Callithrix jacchus: one gene and its partners. The main gene of each other region encodes a partner of the protein of the gene in region 2 in a complex. Links are inferred from orthologs where the notes say so. Each region holds a gene or a part of one and is shown on either strand. Other genes may lie near its edges.

The links.
Region 1: EFTUD2 (region 2) and SNIP1 share a complex: the UniProt entries of both Homo sapiens proteins name them as parts of the minor spliceosome. The link is inferred for Callithrix jacchus from reciprocal best matches to the Homo sapiens genes EFTUD2 and SNIP1.
Region 3: EFTUD2 (region 2) and GPKOW share a complex: the UniProt entries of both Homo sapiens proteins name them as parts of the minor spliceosome. The link is inferred for Callithrix jacchus from reciprocal best matches to the Homo sapiens genes EFTUD2 and GPKOW.

Annotation. Positions count from the first base shown.
Region 1 is NC_133508.1:74,105,543-74,109,195, forward strand, and holds the start of SNIP1 (smad nuclear-interacting protein 1), read right to left. Parts: upstream 2,947-3,653; 5' UTR 2,883-2,946; coding exon 2,659-2,882; intron 1,446-2,658; coding exon 1,343-1,445; intron 1-1,342. UniProt on the Homo sapiens protein: Required for pre-mRNA splicing as component of the spliceosome. As a component of the minor spliceosome, involved in the splicing of U12-type introns in pre-mRNAs. Down-regulates NF-kappa-B signaling by competing with RELA for CREBBP/EP300 binding.
Region 2 is NC_133506.1:85,259,543-85,262,263, forward strand, and holds the end of EFTUD2 (116 kDa U5 small nuclear ribonucleoprotein component), read right to left. Parts: intron 2,448-2,721; coding exon 2,294-2,447; intron 1,481-2,293; coding exon 1,373-1,480; intron 1,033-1,372; coding exon 937-1,032; 3' UTR 578-936; downstream 1-577. Other genes in the region: HIGD1B (HIG1 domain family member 1B), read left to right, coding at 1-61. UniProt on the Homo sapiens protein: Required for pre-mRNA splicing as component of the spliceosome, including pre-catalytic, catalytic and post-catalytic spliceosomal complexes. Component of the U5 snRNP and the U4/U6-U5 tri-snRNP complex, a building block of the spliceosome.
Region 3 is NC_133524.1:49,669,011-49,672,663, forward strand, and holds part of GPKOW (G-patch domain and KOW motifs-containing protein), read right to left. Parts: coding exon 3,619-3,653; intron 3,529-3,618; coding exon 3,404-3,528; intron 916-3,403; coding exon 806-915; intron 1-805. UniProt on the Homo sapiens protein: RNA-binding protein involved in pre-mRNA splicing. As a component of the minor spliceosome, involved in the splicing of U12-type introns in pre-mRNAs.

The DNA of each region.
Region 1 (3,653 bases), on a different chromosome or scaffold from region 2:
TTAAAATCACAATGAAATACCACTACACATCTATCAGAATGGCTAAAATAAAGTGCTAACATTAAATGGTGATACAGGGAAACCCGATCATTCAAACAATGCTGGTGGGACTATAAAATGGTACAGCCACTGTTACGAACTAAATTGTGCCCTCCAAAATTAGCTTGTTGAAGTACCAAACGCAAGTACCTCAGAATGTATTAATAGCCGTATTTGGAGATGAGGTCTTTACAGAGCTGATTAAGTTAAAATGAGCGTAGGGCCCTAATTCAATATGGCTGAGAAAAGACACCAGGACAGGAGAAAGATCATGTGAAGATGTAGTAAAAAGGTAGCCATCTACAAGCCAAGGAGAGAGGATGTTTTTCAGGAGAATCCAGACCTGCTAACATCCTCATCTTTGACTTCTAGCCTCCAGAATTACAAGAAAATGAATTTCTGTTGTTTAAACCACGTACTCTATGGCATTTCATTATGGTGGCCCTAGTAAACTAATACAGCCACTCTGGAAAACAGTCTGGTAATTGCTTAAAAAAATTAAACCTGCAACTACCATACAATCCAGCAATTGCACTTCTGAGCATTTATCCCAGAGAAATGAACTCTTATGTTCGCATATAATCCTATACACAAATGTCTATATAGCAGCTTTATGTGTAATAGCCAAAAAATGGAAACAAGCCAGATGTTCTTTAATGAGTGAGTGGCTAAATCCATGCTATTGGATATCACTCAGAAATAAAATGGAACAAACTACTGAGAGATGCAACCTGAATCAATCTCTGAAGGATTCTGCTGAGTGAAAAAAAGACAATCCTAAATTAGGTTACACATTGTATGATTCCATTTATGTAATATTCTTGAAATGAAAACATTACAGAAATGAAGAACAGATTAGAAGTTGCCAGAAGTTAAAGAATGATAAAGGTGGGAGATGAGTGGGTGTGGCTACAAAAGGAGAACAGGAGGTATTCCTTGTGGTGAAGGAAATGTTATCTTGACTATACTGATGTCAATATTCTGATGGTGATGCTGTACCACAGTTCTGTTATGAATAGATGTTACCACTGGGAGAAACCAGGCAGAGTATATCTCTCTGAATTATTTCTGACAACTGCATGTGAACCAACAATAATCTCAAAATAAAAAGGTGAATTTCAGCAAACAAGCAGAAAAAAAGAAATATACCCAATTTTCAGAAAAGCCCATTGGAAGTACAAGTAGAAATGTAGGCGAGTGTGCGTGCACACACACACACAACACACATACACAGCCCTCTCTAGCTATGATAGGAAAAGGCTCTCTATGTGGCCCCAACATCAAAACACCCCAATCCACTTACCTGCTTCACTTTGACTGTTGAGTGGTGAGGACTTCGGGTCCTCTTACTCCGAGGAGACTTGCTTCTTCTCCCTGAGGACTTGTTTTTCTTTTTGGGTGGGGACCTATACAAAGCATGGTACATACAGGATTTTACTCAATTTCCCTTCCCCCATAAAAATTAGCTTCCAGTATCAGGCTTACATACTAACACAAACACCACATTTGTGAAGGTCTCTGACAGACACATTATAGTCACGAGGTTCACTTTCCTAGCCCTAACATCTCCCTCGCATTCCACACTCACAAAGACAACTCTCTACTGAACCTTCTCACTTAGATAACATAGCTCTTAGTTCCCAAGCCTTCAAAAACCTTTCCTCTCCTACTCTTTGCCATCTTGTTAATTGGCATCACCATCCAGAAGTCACCTTTGACTCTTTACCCCTCACTACCAACACCCCTACCATCAATAACAATTTATCCATCCTGTGGTTCTGCTTCCTGCCTATACCATCTCATTCCTACCACCCACCTGCTTGACCACTATACTCCACTGACACTGGCTTTTTCCCATTTCAATCATGATTCATTCTACTTCAAGTGCTTTGCACATGTTGTTTCCTCTGCCTGGATCTTTCAGAGGCTGGATCATTCCTATCAGTCAGGTCGCAGTTCAAATGGCACCTCTTTAGAGGCCTCCTCCCTCTTCTCTCCAATCTCTCACTATCACAGTACTGTTTTAACCTGTCAATAATACTTGTTACTAACTGAAACCCACTTTATTTATTTCTTGTTATTGTCTGTCTCAGGGCTAGATTTGGAAACGGTGAAGACCATCTAACTGAATCACCCTTGCAGCCCCAAAACCTAGGGCAGTCTTTTAACACTTAACAGGCACTCAGTAAAACTACGCTGAAGGAACGCATAAATCTATGTGAACTTTTTTTTTTAGTTTCTGTCGACGTGAAAACTTTTTGGGCAGGTAATTGTAAAGACAACGCCCGCACTCCATTCCTCCATTCGGGATGAGGAGAATCTCATTCCAATTTAACAGATTATCTGTGCTACCTGCTGAGCCACACTTTGCAAAGTGCTGGGGACACAAGAATGGAGGGACGGGATCCTGCCAGTTAGGCATTAGGCGTTGAACACCGAGCTATCATGCAAGTGACTGAGCAAGCATAACACAGGCACGACTGGATCACTCTCAACCGCCTCTGGATTAGGTCCGGGCTAGCTGCGCCCAGCATTCAAAACCCGTTTCGGACGCTAGCCCTGCCCGCCTTTCTGAATGAGCCCAACCCTAGGTCCATCCTGGGCTGCTCCCCCACTTACCGGCTAACTCCTCGGGCTCGGTTCCCGCGGTGGCCCGGGCGGCTCGGCTCGCTGGCCGGCGGGGAAGGGCTACCGCCGGAGTGGTCCGGACGACGGTGGGCGGGAGGGGCGGCTTCCGGGCTGAGACGCTCCTGCTTCACCACCACCGTCGCCGGCAGCACCACATCCACGTCCCGGTGTCTTCGCCGGCTCCCTCGCTCCCGTTCGCTCTTCACCGCCTTCATTCTGTGATTTTGCCTGAGCGAAAGAAAACAGATCCGTTGAGCTCCTCTAGCTGAAGGAAATGACGTGTTTGACTCCTGGATTTCCGCTTCCGGGGTGCCCCGGTTCCCATATATCTTCGCGGCAGAGAGATTAAACAGGTGACGACTCCCCAGTGAGCGTGGTCAGTGACTAGGTTTGGTGGCAGGAGTTTCGGGTTTCAAAAACAAACTTCTGGCCTGGCGCGGGGGCTCACGTCTGTAATCCCAGCACTTTGGGAGGCCGAGGCTGGCGGATCACCTGAGGTCAGGCGAGCATCCTCGCCAACACGGTGAAACCCCGTCTCTACTAATGATACAAAACAATTAGCTGGGCATGGGGGCGTGCGCCTGTAATCCCAGCTACTCGGGAGGCTGAGGCAGGAGAATCGCATGCACCCGGGAGGCGGAGGTTGCAGTTGCAGTGAGCTGATTGCGTCACCGCACTCCAGTCTGGGCTACAAGAACGAAACCGTCTCAAAAAAAAAAAAAAAAAAGAGCAGGGCTGGGCGTGGTGGCTCACGCCAGCACTTTCGTAGGCTGAGGCAGGCGGATCACTTGAGGTCGGGGGTTCGAGACCAGCCTGGCCAACACGGTGAAACCCTGTCTCTACTAAAAATACAAAAATTAGCCTGGTATGGTGGTGCAAACCTATAATCCCAGCTATTTAGGAGGCTGAGGCAAGAGAATCGCTTGAACCCAGGAGGCGTAGGTTGCAGCGTGCGGGGATTGCACCACAGCACTTCAGCCTGGGTG
Region 2 (2,721 bases):
TGTGTACACAATGTATAGCGATTATGTCAAAAGGATGGCACAGGACGTTGGAGAGAAGTAGGACTCCTATAGGAGCCAAGGCAGTCCGACTTCCCTAAATCAATCCCTGGTATGTTTCTAATAAAGCAGTTTTGAGGAAAATCAACAGACTCTTTTTCACTGGGGAGAACAGAGTAAGGGACTGGTGGTGGCTGGGGAGAGGACTTAGAGCAAATGGCTGGAAATCAGTGCTCTGGCCCCATACCCTAGGGCAAGGGAGATTCTTGGGGGGCGGGACAGCAATTTCCTGAGGTGCTGGGGTAGACCTCTGATCCCAGGAACCAACAACTCCCAAGCCATCTTAGGTCCCACCCTGAAGCAGCATGGAGTGGGAGCAAGGGGGCAAAAACAGGGCCTTGATACTCATGAGAACACTGAATTAAAAGGCAGGCTGCTTCCCTGGGGACTCAGGCAGGAAGGAGGCTGCAGCTGGAAGCAGAGGCAGTGAAGCCTCTTGGGAGATGACATATATTCAGAATGTAAGCACCAGGACCAGATGGGGCAGGGGAGACGGGGATGAAAGGAACAGAGCAAGACAGAGGTCAAAATGTTCTGTTCACTTGCAAACCATGGCGAAGGTCAAACTTGTAGAAAATAAAATTCCATGTAAATACCAAAGATGGGGGGGTTCCATCCCCGCTTCTCTTTCTGTGAGTCCAAGCAAACTCCTCTCTTTCCTTGGAAATGGAGCCTGGCAGAGGGCACAGAAGGAAGCAGGAGGCCAAATGCTCCTCTCTCACTGGCGCTCTGGGTTAGAGGTTGGTGAGTTGTTCAAGACACCAACAGCAGCTTCCAGACACTCTAACAACACGAAGGCCATGTCATACCAGGTCTCAGCTTCAAGTGCAGGAGTTGCAACTCACTGTAGGGAGCAGGAGCTGCCAGGAGTCCGTGCACTCACATGGGGTAATTGAGCACAACATCCTGTTTGGCGAGTTCCAGCAACATAGGATCATCGAAGAATTTGCTTATGCTCACATCTTCACTGAGGCCCTGCAGAAAAATACAAGAAAAATACAAGAAAGCCCGAGGTGGTGGCAGACTGAGTGGGGAGGCCACCCAAGACCTGCGCTCAGTGAGGCTAGTGGTAGCAGGAATGTAGGTGGTGTTGTTTCAGCAGCCCTGCTTTCAGGGTACTATCATATAGGAGGATAAAGCTCTCCTTCCACAGCAAGACTAGGGCCCAGGTCTAGTTGCCTCAAGAGTATACAGATCACATGTTTACATTGGAAAAGGGTCCTTTAGGAAAAGGGGCCAAAAGACAGACATAGAGATCCTACTTCTGAGAGTTCTGGGGGGTTGAGGGATGGTAACAGGCCCAAGGAAGACATACCTTCCTACGACGAGTTTTGATCATGAATTCCCGGGCCAGGTGAGGAGCCGGCTGTGGCTCCAAAGGGCGAATGACAATGCTCTTGTCCAGAGGATCACCAGGGACAATCTAAAAGACAAAGGAATTTCAGATGGCCCAGGCAGACTCCCCAGAAGATTTGGGCCCAGAAGCAGGATTCTTATTTATTTTACAGAAAAAAAAAAAATTTTTTTTGAGACTGAGTTTCGCTCTTGTTGCCCAGGCTGGAGTGCAATGGCATGATCTCGGCTCACTGCAACCTCTGCCTCCTGGGTTCAGGCAATTCTCCTGCCTCAGCCTCCTGAGTAGCTGGGATTACAGGCATGCACCACCATGCCCGGCTAATTTTGTATTTTTAGTAGAGACAGGGTTTCTCTGTGTTAGTCCCTATTTTATTTTTAAATTTATTATTATTATTATTTTTTGAGACGGACTCTTGCTCTGTCGCCCAGGCTAGAGTGCAGTGGTGCGATCTTGGCTCACTGCAACCTCTGCCTCCTGGGTTCAAGTGATTCTCCTGCCTCAGCCTCCTGAGTAGCTGGGATTACAGGTACCCACCACTGTGCCCAGCTAAATTTTTTTTGTATTTTTAGTAGAGACAGGGTTTTACCATGGTAGCCAGGCTAGTCTTGAACACCTGACCTCGTGATCTGCCCGCCTTGGCTTCCCAAAGTACTGGGATTACAGGTGTGAACCACTGTGCTGGTCCTCTATTTTTTTTTTTTTTTTTAAACTGAGAGACACAGATTCAAGTTGCCCTGAATATATGCTCCCCAGAAGAGGACTCTTCTCTAGGATGCTGTACATCTCACTTAGGGCTTGGAGGGGGATCAGGACAGAAGGGGATGAGGCTTGCAGAGGTGTGAGGCCAACGCAGCCAGCCAGCCTGCGATGTTTTCTCACCTGCCAATGGTGGAAGACAGACAGAGAAAAGGCTTGTCCCTGGGTGTGAGTCCGGAGATCAGTTTCAAAGCCAAAAGAGTCGATGGCTGGGATAAAGGCTTTGATGGTGTACAGAGGGGAGCCTGGAATGGGTGCATCCTGAGTCACGTGCCCCCTGCGACAAAAAAATAAAGGCCGAGTCTCTAGTTATACAAAGGCCAAAAGACAAGAAGCAATCTGCCATTGGCTGTTCCCAAATGCATCCCAGCCCAGAGTTACCATCAAAGAAAGAGTAACCAAGAATGTTATACAGAGCAGAAAAAGCTCGGGGCTCTCAGTGTAATTTCCTGTGGTCTTGAGTTGTTGTTTTTTTTTTTTATTTTTATTTTGGAGAAGCAGTTTTGCTCTTGTTGTCCAGGCTGGAGTGCAATGGCATGATCTTGGCTCAC
Region 3 (3,653 bases), on a different chromosome or scaffold from region 2:
GGGGCCAGGACCTACTGTATGTGCTTTACGTATATAATTTCTTTTCTTAAAATTAATTAATCTTTTGTAGAGATGGAGCCTCCCTATGTTGTCCAGGCTGGTCTCAAACTGCCAAGGTTAAGTGATCCTCCTGCCTCAGTCTCCCAATGTGCTGGGATTACAGGCATGAGCCACTACCTGGCCTATATGTATAATTTCATTTAACTCACACAACAGACCTGTGAAGTCAGTATTACTATCCCCATTTTTCAGATGAGGAAATTGATGTCCCCAGAGGCAAACTTTATAAAAATAGGATTCTATTACAGTATTCTGAAGGCCAAATGGGAGTTTAAAACAGAAGTGGAAGCCAGGTGTGGTGGCTCACGCCTACAATCCCAGCACTTTGGGAGGCCAAGACGGGTGGATAAGCTGAGGTCAGGAGTTCAAGACCAGCCTGGCCAACATGGTAAAACCCCATCTCTACTAAAAATAAAAAATTAGCTACTCGGGAGGCTGAGGGAGGAGAATCACTTGAACCTAGGAGGCAGAGGTTGCAGTGAGCTGAGATCACGCCACTGCACTTCAGCCTGGGCGACAGTGAGACTCCATCTCAAAAAAGAAGACAAAACAAAACATTCCTCTCCCTTTGTGGCTAAAATAAAAATAAAATAAAACAAAACACAGTAGTGGAAGGAGCTGCTGAATTAGTTAGGGCAATAATGTATCCTCCCTCCCTGCCTGGATGGTTCCAGTTTGGCAGTGATCCTGGGGATCTTGATCACAGCCTGATCTGTCTGTCCCCTTACCCCATCCCAGAACTCACTGATTGAAGGTGCGACCGATGCCCTCGCCAGGTTTCCAGCCCATGCCCCGCAGCATGGCCAGCCCATAGGCCTCCACAGGGACCACCTCATAATTGGCCTCCTCTGGCACCTACAGGTTCAGGCAGAGGAAGGAGGGTCAGTATTACTTATATTGGGTCCTCTATTTGAAGTGCACTTGCTGCCACCCACTGTGTGACTTGCTATGTGTCTTTTCCAATCAGCTCAAGGGTGACTTTTGATTTCCTCTTTCCATCCCTCACTGTACTCCTCCATATTCAGTCCTTCAACAAATATAAAGCACCTAATCTATGGCAAATACTGTTCTAGGTACTGGGGATGAAGCAGTGAACTAAACAGACAAAAACCCCTACCCTTGCAGAGCTTCTAGTCTAGTACTGGAGACACACTATAAATAAAACACAGAGAACATGATGTGTCAGGTGGTGAGGTAAAGAACAAGAAAGCAGGGTAAGAGGATGCAGAGGGATGGAGAGGGAGTGCCACTGGGTTGAGATAACAGCAGAGGGAGCCATGAGGATATGAGAAGAAAGTGTCCCAAGCTGAAAGCACTGTAATAGCAAAGGCCCTGAGGCCAGACAAGGCTTGGTAGGTGTGAGGAGTATCACGAAAGTCACCATGATGGTGAGAGTAGAGAGCAGAGAAGGGTGGCGAAGAGACTAAATTAGGAAAGCTGGGCAGAAGTCAGAGGACCCTGAGCCAGGTGGGAGCCACAAGAGGGACCAGTGAGGAAATTACTATAATAGTCCAGATGAGACATGCTGGTGGCTCAGCCCTTTGTGGTGGTATTGGTGGTGGTGAGAAGTGGTCAGTTCTGGGTGTCATTATGAAAAAAGATGATAGAATTGTGCTGGCAGATTGGACGGGGCATGAAATAAAGAGGGGAATTGAGAATGACTCCAAAGATTTTGTTGTTGTTGTTTTTGGTTTTTGAGATGGAGTCTTGCTCTGTGGCCCAGGCTGGAGTGCAATTGTGCAATCTCTGCTCACTGCAACCTCCGCCTCCTGGGTTCAAGCGATTCTCCTGTCTCAGCCTCTGAGTAGCTGCAATTACAGGCGTGCACCACCATGCCTGGCTAATATGTGTACTTTTCGTAGAGATGGGGTTTCACCGTGTCGGCCAGGCTGGTCTCGAACTCCTGACCTCAGGTGATCCGCCTGCCTCAGCCTGCCAAACTGCTGAAATTACAGGTGTGAGCCACCATGCCCAGCTGTCTCCAAGGTTTTTAAGCTGAGTGAGAGGAAGGATGGATGAAATTTTGGTCAGTTGAGATGCGGAAATCTGCAGGAGGAGGTTTATAGAGGGAAAAATTAGAGGAATGAGGCCAAAGCTGGAACAGGATGAAAGGATGAAGAGTGAAGTGGGATCTTTTTTTTTCTTTAAAGATAAAGGAGCTGGGCACAGTGGCTCACAGGTGTAGTCCCAGCACTTGGGGAGACCAAGGTGGGTGGATCACTTGAGGTCAGGAGTTCAAGACCAGCCTGACCAACATGGCAAAACCTTGTCTCTACTGAAAATACAAAAATTAGCCAGGTATGGTGGCGCACATCTGTAACTGCAGCTACTCGGGAGACTGAGGCAGGAGAATTGCTTGAACCCAGGAGGGGTAGGTTGCAGTGAGCCAAGATTGCACCACTTCACTCCAGCCTGGATGACAGAGCAAGACTGTGTTAAAAAAAAAAAAAGATGAAGGAAATAACAGTTCAGTCAAAAGGGAGAGTGGTCTGCAGGTGTAGGAGAACTAGACTCCAAAGAAGCAGTGCAAGAAATTTATGAAAGAAAAGGTGAAAAGTCAGGTCTGCGGGTATGAAAGACAGACTTGGTTACTTCTGTAGAAACACCTCTAACCTCTTCCCTTGTCACCTCCCATCATCACTCTTTCACATTCACTCCAGAGATACAAGTTGCCACACCGATTTTCTGCTACTATGTCATTGCTTAGGCTGTTGCTACCAACAGGAGTACTCACTCTGTTTGTTCTTCCCTCTCTTACTAAACCCTGCTTATCCTTCCAGACCACTCTGGTCTATGCCCCCAGCATCTCTAGCCTGGACTAAGCCCCTTGCTTCCACCTTCACTAATGATTCTGTTCACAGCAGCCAGGGGGATGCTGTCAAATTATAAATCATATTTCATCTCTGCTCAGGGCTTGTCCCTGCTCTCACCCCACTCAGAGTAAAAGCCAAAGTCCTCACAATGGCCTACAAGGCCCTGCCTGGTCTAGCACCCTGTCTCCTTTCTGACTTCATCTACTATCCCTTCCCCTCACTCATTCCACTTCAGTCACACTGGTCTCTTTGGTGTCAGCAAACACTCTAGGCAGTGTCTACCTTGAGGGCCTTTACATTTCCTGTTCCCTTTGCTGCACATCTCATTCAGATAATCCTAGGATTCAAGTACTTTTTTAGCATCCAGGTATCCAGATTCATTTGGTAATGCTTCCGAAAAGGATGGCAAGAGAAGGGGCAGGTGGCGGGCCTCTAGCACACACAGACTTTCCCTGCTACGTGCAGGGACACAGCGTGGCAGACAGGGCAAAGAAAGGCTGGGGCAGAAGGGGGACAAGGGGCCAGCTCACTGTCTCAGCCCGGGGTTCGCTGTCTGCCCCTTCCCCGCTGGGGGTGCATCCTTTCTGGATCATGGGGATAGCAAGCGTGGGGTTGACATGCGCATTCTCTCTCTCCTCCAGAGACTTCTTGGATTCTAAGGGAAGAACAGGAGGGAGCAATGAGGTCCCACCCTATCCTTCCACCTTCTTCCTTCACTGGGGTAGGGTAAAGGGGCATCACTCACCCTCAATGAGCTCCTTCACAGCCTGGGACAGCACC